Daphnia pulex: one gene and its partner. Each later gene encodes a partner of the first gene's protein in a complex. Links are inferred from orthologs where the notes say so. Each region holds a gene or a part of one and is shown on either strand. Other genes may lie near its edges.

Region 1 (3,622 bases):
TCTGAATGGATTGAGCAGATCGAACGATGGGGCTAAGACTTCACGTGCTGTGAACCTTATGATGCAGTCGGCATACACAAGACCAGTCTCAGCGGCTCTCGTCTTATGGATAGTCACGTTGTGCTGGATCATTCGACGGGTGTGTGTGTAACACATAGCGAACCATCACTCCGCCGATGTGGAGATTACATCAACAGCATTCCAAATGAGAGTTTGGCTGTTGCCATACACACAAATATATAATCACCAGATATTTTAACCTTTCCCTGTTTACGTACTACTCATCCGATCCGATTAGTTTGTCCATTTCTTCCATTTCTTTTTCTTCTTTTCACGGGGCTGTGGGTCCATGCACTCACGGAATTTTTCGCACGGACGACGCCAGGGTTCATCCGTCCGTCCTTATTCGTCGACGGTCACCGTTCCGTTTTTGAAGGGATTCAAAAGCTGCCCGGCGTTACAACATACAGGACGTTCGTCTTGCAGCTCAGGATGTGTGTGGGGGGGATTATAATCACACCGATGTCTAAGTCGGGACGTGACAAAAATCGCGTTTCAACTAGAAACAATTCGACATTTCTTTCAAAACGGCCAGTCTAGATAAGACCTAAAAAGAAGAAGAGCATATCAATCAAGGTCAGACGAGATTAAATTCACGAGGACTAGTTAGTTTTTATTGTTCTCTGTGATGACATGTCGACCAAAAATAAAAATAAAAAATAAGAAGAAAATTACATTTACAGCCAGCAGCAGATATCATCAGTAGAGTCGAGCGAAAATTATTATTATATATATAGAAATGACACTGATTAATTAAAATTAGAATATTATCGTGATATTTTTTTCAACAAAGTCACAGACACACAAACAGCACTCGCATCGAGACCCATCCATCGTCACACCGTAGACGGTCGCACAATTGGAGGGTCGTTAAACAGGATTGTCACGCGGCAATATATTAATAATTCATTGAAAGGGGAATTCAATAAAGAAAATCAATCAAACTGTCCCATTTGTTAATCATAAAAAAAAGGCTAGCTCAAATATTTTAAGTCAACACGACCGCTGGTCTCTAAACAAAGTTCATGGCTCAATTTAGTTATAAAAGTCAATCAACACTCGTCTTTTTAAAAACAAACCCACAGTTTTCCCTTTTGTACAATTGGCTGTTGGACATCTTTAACGAAGATCGTCAAGGGAGATTAATTCATTATTCGGATTAATGTTATCAAAGTCAAAAGGCCTGGCTTTTCAGATATCGTCGGAGATGGGCAATAAAAGTGAGAACATGGACCGTTGAGGTACGACACAGCCAGTCAACACGAATCAAAAAAATAATAACTCAATCCAAAAATAAGCAGCAAAATTGGACGACGAAACGCAATTTTTTCTTGGCAGGCGAAGGCAGATGAAACACGACCAACAAGGCGATTGGGGAGTATTAATTATGAACGATGGAGTTGAATCAATATGGAGACGATCGAAATATAATGGAAACATTAGAGCAGGACGCACACATTTTGGTTTTTTGTTGAAAATAAAAACTCACTCGAAGAAAATTATTACAAAAATGAATTGAAAAGGCGATTCACAGCGGGATGCTGACCGACAAAAATAAATGAATAGCCGCCCAATTTAACTAAAGGGAGGGGGACCTCTCTTATTTAAAAAAAATCTCTCTGTATAAAAAAGGGGTTTTGTTCGTCAATCTGTTGAGCACCAAATCATAAGCTAAAGAGGCCCCCAACACATTTGTGCTTGTATAAATTGCTGATGGTTTCATTCATTTCGTTAGTCATCGTAATAGCATCCATTTTAAACGCAGGGCACCACCACAAATGTAATCTTTTAATTGGTATAAGCTAGCCGATGATCGATGGTGATTAAAAAAAAATTCATTAGATTTCTAAAGTACAATTCAAATTCGACGTAACAAGTATAGAGTAGCGTCAATAATATACATGACGAGCTACTATTTACTGTCGTCTCTCAACAACAATACGCATCGCAACAACAGAAACAAAAGGTCATATCATGTGAACAATGGATAGAGGGGGGGGGAAGAATAGAAATAAAGTCAGAAGAGTTTTTGTTGTCCATTACTTCTTTTTTCAAGGAAGATTAATAACGTGGCCCTATATAAAGCCCAGTCTAAATACATACTGTACACATGTAGAGTCCTATTGTGTGTTGATTCGGCTGGATAACGGCATCTCTGGCAGACTCGAAGTAAGTTCCAAAAGTTGAAACGAGTTTATTTAAAGGGCTTCGTCCCTCTGTAAATGGCCGTTCTCCGACTTGAGCGGCTCCTGCTCGCATTCGTCCTTATCCGGTCGACTCCGTTCGAAGAAGCCCAACTGTAACATTAAAAGAAAAGATAGGGGTAATGTAGAATGATATTTAAAAAATAGAGGGGGAACTATTTTATACGGTCACAACAAGGTTTCTAAGTCTAGTCTTATCAGCCGGTTTGGGAGACTTTAAAATCTTTAAAAGATATGACTGCGTGGCGCAATGGTAGCGCGTCTGACTCCAGATCAGAAGGTTGCGTGTTCGAATCACGTCGTGGTCAAACAACTTTTTTAAAATTATTTTTTAGTTCTCAACAGACTAAGCGTTCTTTTCTTCTACAATGACTACTCAACCCAATTTTAATTTAACTTTAAATAAAGATTTAAAAAAAAATAAAACTAAACAAAAAGAATTTTGAAAAAAAAAGAAAAAAAAAAGTTTAAATTTTACCTTCCAAAGGACAAAGATGAGGAGTAGAAGAAGCAATACTCCGGCCACGGCTGCCAGAACAATGATCCACCAGGGGATAGCTTTAGCTTCTCGTTCCCGATCCAGTTGATCCAGCGTAGTCGTCACCGTAGCAGAGCGTAGAGGAAGGTAGCCAGGATCGACACCGTACGGAAGTTCGTTGATATCCACCACCATCTTTGATGAAATCACCAAATCCTCCCAGTCAATCTGCAATCAATCAATATTCATTCAACTATAAACCGAATTCCAACTTAACAATTTAATCAGAAATTTTTACCTCTGAAATGGTTTGAGCCCAAATTCTGGCGCGCAATTTGAACACGACGTTGTTGTTGGAAGTGATGGGACCAGCCGAGCACTTGATGACGGTGCACTGAGTCGCTCCGCAGTTCAATTCCCTGTCCAGATCCTTCGACTGGCTTTGGCGACGACTGCGAACGCGATTTTTCGTGTTCCTTCCGTGCTGGAAGTTCATCGGTGCCTGGCGTCTTCTCCTCCGTCCCTGGGTCGACTGTTGGTCCAGTTCTTCGTCGTAATCGTAATCCTCTTCTTCGTCAAAGATTTGGCCAGGGATCACTTGTCCAGGAGCTCCGACTCCGCTGTTTTGGCTGGTCACGCTGGACTGGACAGTGCCGTCGGGATTGTAACGGGTTACCGTCGACGTCCGGTTCCAGGAGGAAGAGGAAGTCGAAGTTGTTTTGGGTTTCCCGTCGACAGATGTCGTTGAGGATGACGACGAGGACGAAATGGCATTGGCACCGCCACCACCACCGGAAGAACTGCTGGAGGAATAAGTTGTTTTGCTTGATTTACTGGCGCCACTTCCGCCGGATGATGAGCTGCCGGATGAGCTGCTGGA
Region 2 (4,332 bases), on another chromosome or scaffold:
TGTCACTTTCTCACAAGACGTGGCAAAAATAGCAGACGGCACGGCCTACACCTTTTTACGGGGTGCGTTCATAAGTCGTCGTACTTTGTTCACAAATGATTTCCAAAAAAAAAGGTCACCAAAATCGCCAAAGGCTATTAGCTATTAGCTCACCCTACAACAGAATGGAGATTTTTACATTTTTGTCCAAATTCTCCAAAGATCAATTCTCGACAACGAATTTGATTATTTCTCTATTTTCTAACAAGACAAACTTGAATTAATAAATTATAAAGAGCCGGGTTAACTGATCTCATATCATCAGTGCATATTTCAAAAGTAATATCTTCTTATGAGTTTTCATGTCATTTTCAATTTAACTTTATCTCCGTTGCGTCGGCAGCGGCATTAACTTAAAATTTAATCAATATCGAAATTTAGTTATTACATGACTATTTTGAGCGCCTTCTCTTTTGTGACCTATCATGATTGTGGATCTTATCATTTAGGTAAATGTCTGTCTTAGCATCTTGAACAACAGATTTTTCCCATTCATGACCTGTGAACGCATTGATAAAATTGTAAACGCTACTGTGAGATTATTAGTTTATTACATGTTTAAAAATCATTATTCGGAAGACACGTCAGCAGTTGTTAAGATATTTTGTTGTTTTTTGTGAACTTGAAAGTGATTTCAATGAGGGAAACATTTTAAAAGTGTGACTGTAGCTTACAGAAATAAGCGAGAAGTGAAGTAAAAAAACACGAAAATCCTGTAGAATTTAAATATGAATAATTCTTGTACTTACTCTAATCGGCAGACGTAAAGTCATTAATCGCTTAACTTGTAATTAAAAAGTTTGTGGTCTTATCTTTGATACAGTAAAAGCAAGGCACCTTGTGAAGGAAAAAGAATTTTAAAATTCAGCATATTTATCAATTTAGTAATTTACTAGGAGTAAGAATATTAAAAGGTAAACAAGAGCCGGAAAAAAAAACGAATCCAATTATGTTGATTCGTTACTTATTTTTCCCATACTAATTCGCTGCAGAGCTTTTCCTCGGGCTAGTCTCGTAAGCTTTCTTCAAACGCTTCCGAAGTTCAGCCGGAAATTTATCGAAACATTTTTTACAAGTCGGTTTCAAGTCGAATTCGTAGAACTTGGTTTTCTGCGACATTTTTGTGTCACAAACCGAACAAGCGAAATGGTGAACACACCAGGCTTTGTTCAATGCGGTAAACACTGAAAAGAAAAGCCAATCAAGGTGTTAATGTCTTAAAAGAAGAACATGTATAAAATGCTTTACCATCTCCTCCAATAACTTGATTGCAAACGAAGCAAAGATTGCCGAAAAGCTGATGATAATGGGTTTCGCAATAGGCAAGACCCTTCTTCTCATAATGGCGATTACCCAAGAACGGTTTCTCGCATTTGGCGCATACGAAATGCTACAAATCAATCCATTGTAATAGGTAAATTTAATCCCTGTGATGATTTCATTAAGTTTTATACCTCAACATGAAAATGCTTTCCTAACGCCGTAACGACACGCTCTTCAATTGGACGACGGCAAGCACCACAAATTGGAATACCCATTTTGTCGTGGCATCTCAAGCAATACAACTCGTTCTGTGTAAATTTTAAACAATTGTCACAAAGATATTAAATGTTAAAAAATAATGTGAAATACCATCTCATTAGCGGTGAAACCTGGTCTGCTTTTAACTTCACGTGCGTCCGCGTTGAGTTCGATTCCGCAAGACGAACAGTTGAAATGATAAGGATGATAGACTTCGCCACGGAAACGTAGCGGACGATCATCAATCATAGAGCTAAATAAAAATAATGATCCTTAGATTCCGATGAAATTTTCAACTATACACAGCACTTACTGGCACTTATGGCAGACATGTTTTCCCAAGCTGGCGGCTTTTGCTCGAGCGTTACAATCGTGGCAGAGTGCCTTATTCTGGTGACGAATGAACCCCTGGTCGGCTAGTTCTTTGTCACACATCTCGCAGAGGAAGCACTTGGGATGCCAATTGGCATTCATTGCTTTAATAACACGACCGATGATAAATTCACCTAAGAATACAAAAAATGCGTTATTATTTAAAAATCTATGAATTAGTCAATCGATTTAACGCTTACCACAGCGACCGCAACAAGGAGCAAAGAGCATCTGAAAATCATGCTCACAATACTTGCGACCCTCAAACTCGTAAAAAATTCCTTCTGGAAAGGAGCGAAAGCATTGAGCGCACCTGTGAAAGATTAAGAAATTAGAATTCAATTTCAAGTAAAAATGTTGGTGTGAGTACTTACACAAAGCACTGGGGATGCCACAGCTCTCCATTTGTATTGACAATCTTTTCATGAGGCTCAAAACCATAATCACACCTCACACATTGGGTGTTCTTGTACATATCGCTTTAAAGTTCAAACCATTATTAGTTTCTTGAAATTCAGAATGTGTGAAATCTACTATACTAACTGTTAAACCACAATACCTATCAATATTACTAGGTTTAAGGTTTCTAGAAGGAAGTTTAGGAGGGCTGTTAGCATAAGTATTTTTTAAAATGTAAGTTTGAACTGAATTCAAGCTAGGTATCTGAGGAAGTGGTTGATTTTGAATTCCCTTCGGAACATCATTAGATGTAAGGTCTTCAAGCAAACCCTCAAGTTCATTTACTTCACTTGCACTTGCACTTGGTTTCATCTTATCCTCCATTCTTCTAAGGTAAAGGTTACTATTTTCAAAGGGTTTAAGAACAAGAATGTTAGGTCTTTTTGCCATGGTGAAAAATGGAGTTTCTTCAGTGAACACAACCGAAATGTCCAGCAATTTATGGGGTGAAGAACGGCAATTGATAACTAAATGTGTTATCTCATGTGTGGCCACTTCAAGAGCTTATTAATATCAGTAATAGTATTTATCTTATCAATAGCTTACCCAGGCGGCATTTGAAATGAACACAACGATAAAATAAACTCAATAACTATAAGAACTTCAACAGATTGTAGAGACCTGTGGACGAAATCGGGTGCTAACACCAACACAAACCGCGCCCGTTCAGAGATCAGCCCAAATAAGGAGATAATTTTGTGAAAAAAGTGAAAGGGACTAAAATGCGGGAAAAAAGCTAAGAGAAACGCAAAAATACTATGTGCTAAAATTGATAAAATTCCTTGTAAAAAAATTAACATTTGGTTCTCGCATTTTTTAAAATTTACCTTAATTCGGATTGAGCCCCGACGAATTTCGAAATCGTTGTTTTAGACATTTCCCTTCTTTTTCTTTATCATTTTACCGCATCTTCTAAATCCACGATTTACTGCATCCGGTCCGTATTATAATGTTTTGATTGACTTGTAGAGCCATCTGGTGGTCATTCAACGAACTCGATTAATTAATTGTTGTCTTTTCGATATCAGTATATAAAAAGCACACCATTACCTTTGTAAAATTAATTTTCTCTGCATTTGTGACGTTTTTCAATTATCGGAACTTCAACCCATTTTATTGTGACATCTGACATTAAACGCCGCCCTCTGTACACGCCCCTTCAAAACACGCCGCCAGGTGATGTAAGAAGCATAATTTTGATAGTAAACATGGCTTCAGAAGTAGTAGATTGCGAAATTATTGTTTCGAATTCGGTTAACAATTTTGATGCAGCTACTAGCTCCAGTCATGGAATTCTTGACAGCAGTGATCCATATGAAAGTCTAAATAATTTAAGCGGTACCAGAACAAATAGTGATTCCAATGATGTGAGCTTAAACATACAACCTCCTGCAGACCCCGGTTGTACTGATGGTTTTCAGAACGGTGATGTCGGATTATTAGAAATTGCCGTTGAAGCTCAACCTGATTTGATTTTTGAATCAGATCTTGTCTCCAATAACCAAGACCAACAATTTGTACGGCCCAGGGTCTACTTAGAACGAGAGTCTTTCAGCAATCAAAATGAGGATTCCATATCACGTACAACCAATGTGAGATTTACTGAGTAATAATCTCCCCTCAAGATTTGTTAAAAAGCATTAATGAATCAGGCTTCATCAATCTTGGAAGAAAATTCCCTGCCAGCTGCTGCTGGTGATGAAGAGAGTGGATCAGACTCCTTGCTGTGGAAAAATCAAAAGAAACATTTCTTTGTCTTGAGTGAAGCAGGAAAACCCATCTACACAAGGTTGGGTTTGAATTAGCTATTTGTCATTTTTTATAATTAATTGTTTTCCTTTTTAAATTACAGACATGGAAATGAGGAGCAGCTTGTTACCTTATTTGGAGTGATGCAGGCACTTGTTTCATTTGTGGAAGATGGGGAAGACTCCATGGATA

Evidence for each region. The genes of interacting proteins can lie anywhere in the genome.
Region 2: integrin alpha-PS2-like (region 1) and LIM and senescent cell antigen-like-containing domain protein 1 share a complex: the UniProt entries of both Caenorhabditis elegans proteins name them as parts of the integrin containing attachment complex. The link is inferred for Daphnia pulex from reciprocal best matches to the Caenorhabditis elegans genes pat-2 and unc-97.

Annotation. Positions count from the first base shown.
Region 1 is NC_060022.1:1,631,139-1,634,760, reverse strand, and holds the end of integrin alpha-PS2-like, read right to left. Parts: coding exon 3,041-3,622; intron 2,971-3,040; coding exon 2,743-2,970; intron 2,573-2,742; exon of another isoform or gene 2,501-2,572; intron 2,358-2,500; coding exon 2,259-2,357; 3' UTR 653-2,258; downstream 1-652. UniProt on the Caenorhabditis elegans protein: Required for muscle development probably through the regulation of the actin-myosin cytoskeleton. Component of an integrin containing attachment complex, which is required for muscle maintenance.
Region 2 is NC_060026.1:14,674,632-14,678,963, forward strand, and holds LIM and senescent cell antigen-like-containing domain protein 1, read right to left. Parts: upstream 2,923-4,332; 5' UTR 2,782-2,922; coding exon 2,492-2,781; intron 2,412-2,491; coding exon 2,307-2,411; intron 2,246-2,306; coding exon 2,133-2,245; intron 2,067-2,132; coding exon 1,874-2,066; intron 1,814-1,873; coding exon 1,672-1,813; intron 1,611-1,671; coding exon 1,494-1,610; intron 1,430-1,493; coding exon 1,288-1,429; intron 1,224-1,287; coding exon 1,018-1,223; 3' UTR 572-1,017; downstream 1-571. Other genes in the region: protein SAND-like, read left to right, coding at 3,600-3,983, 4,044-4,180, 4,244-4,332. UniProt on the Caenorhabditis elegans protein: Component of an integrin containing attachment complex, which is required for muscle development and maintenance. Probably function in adherens junction.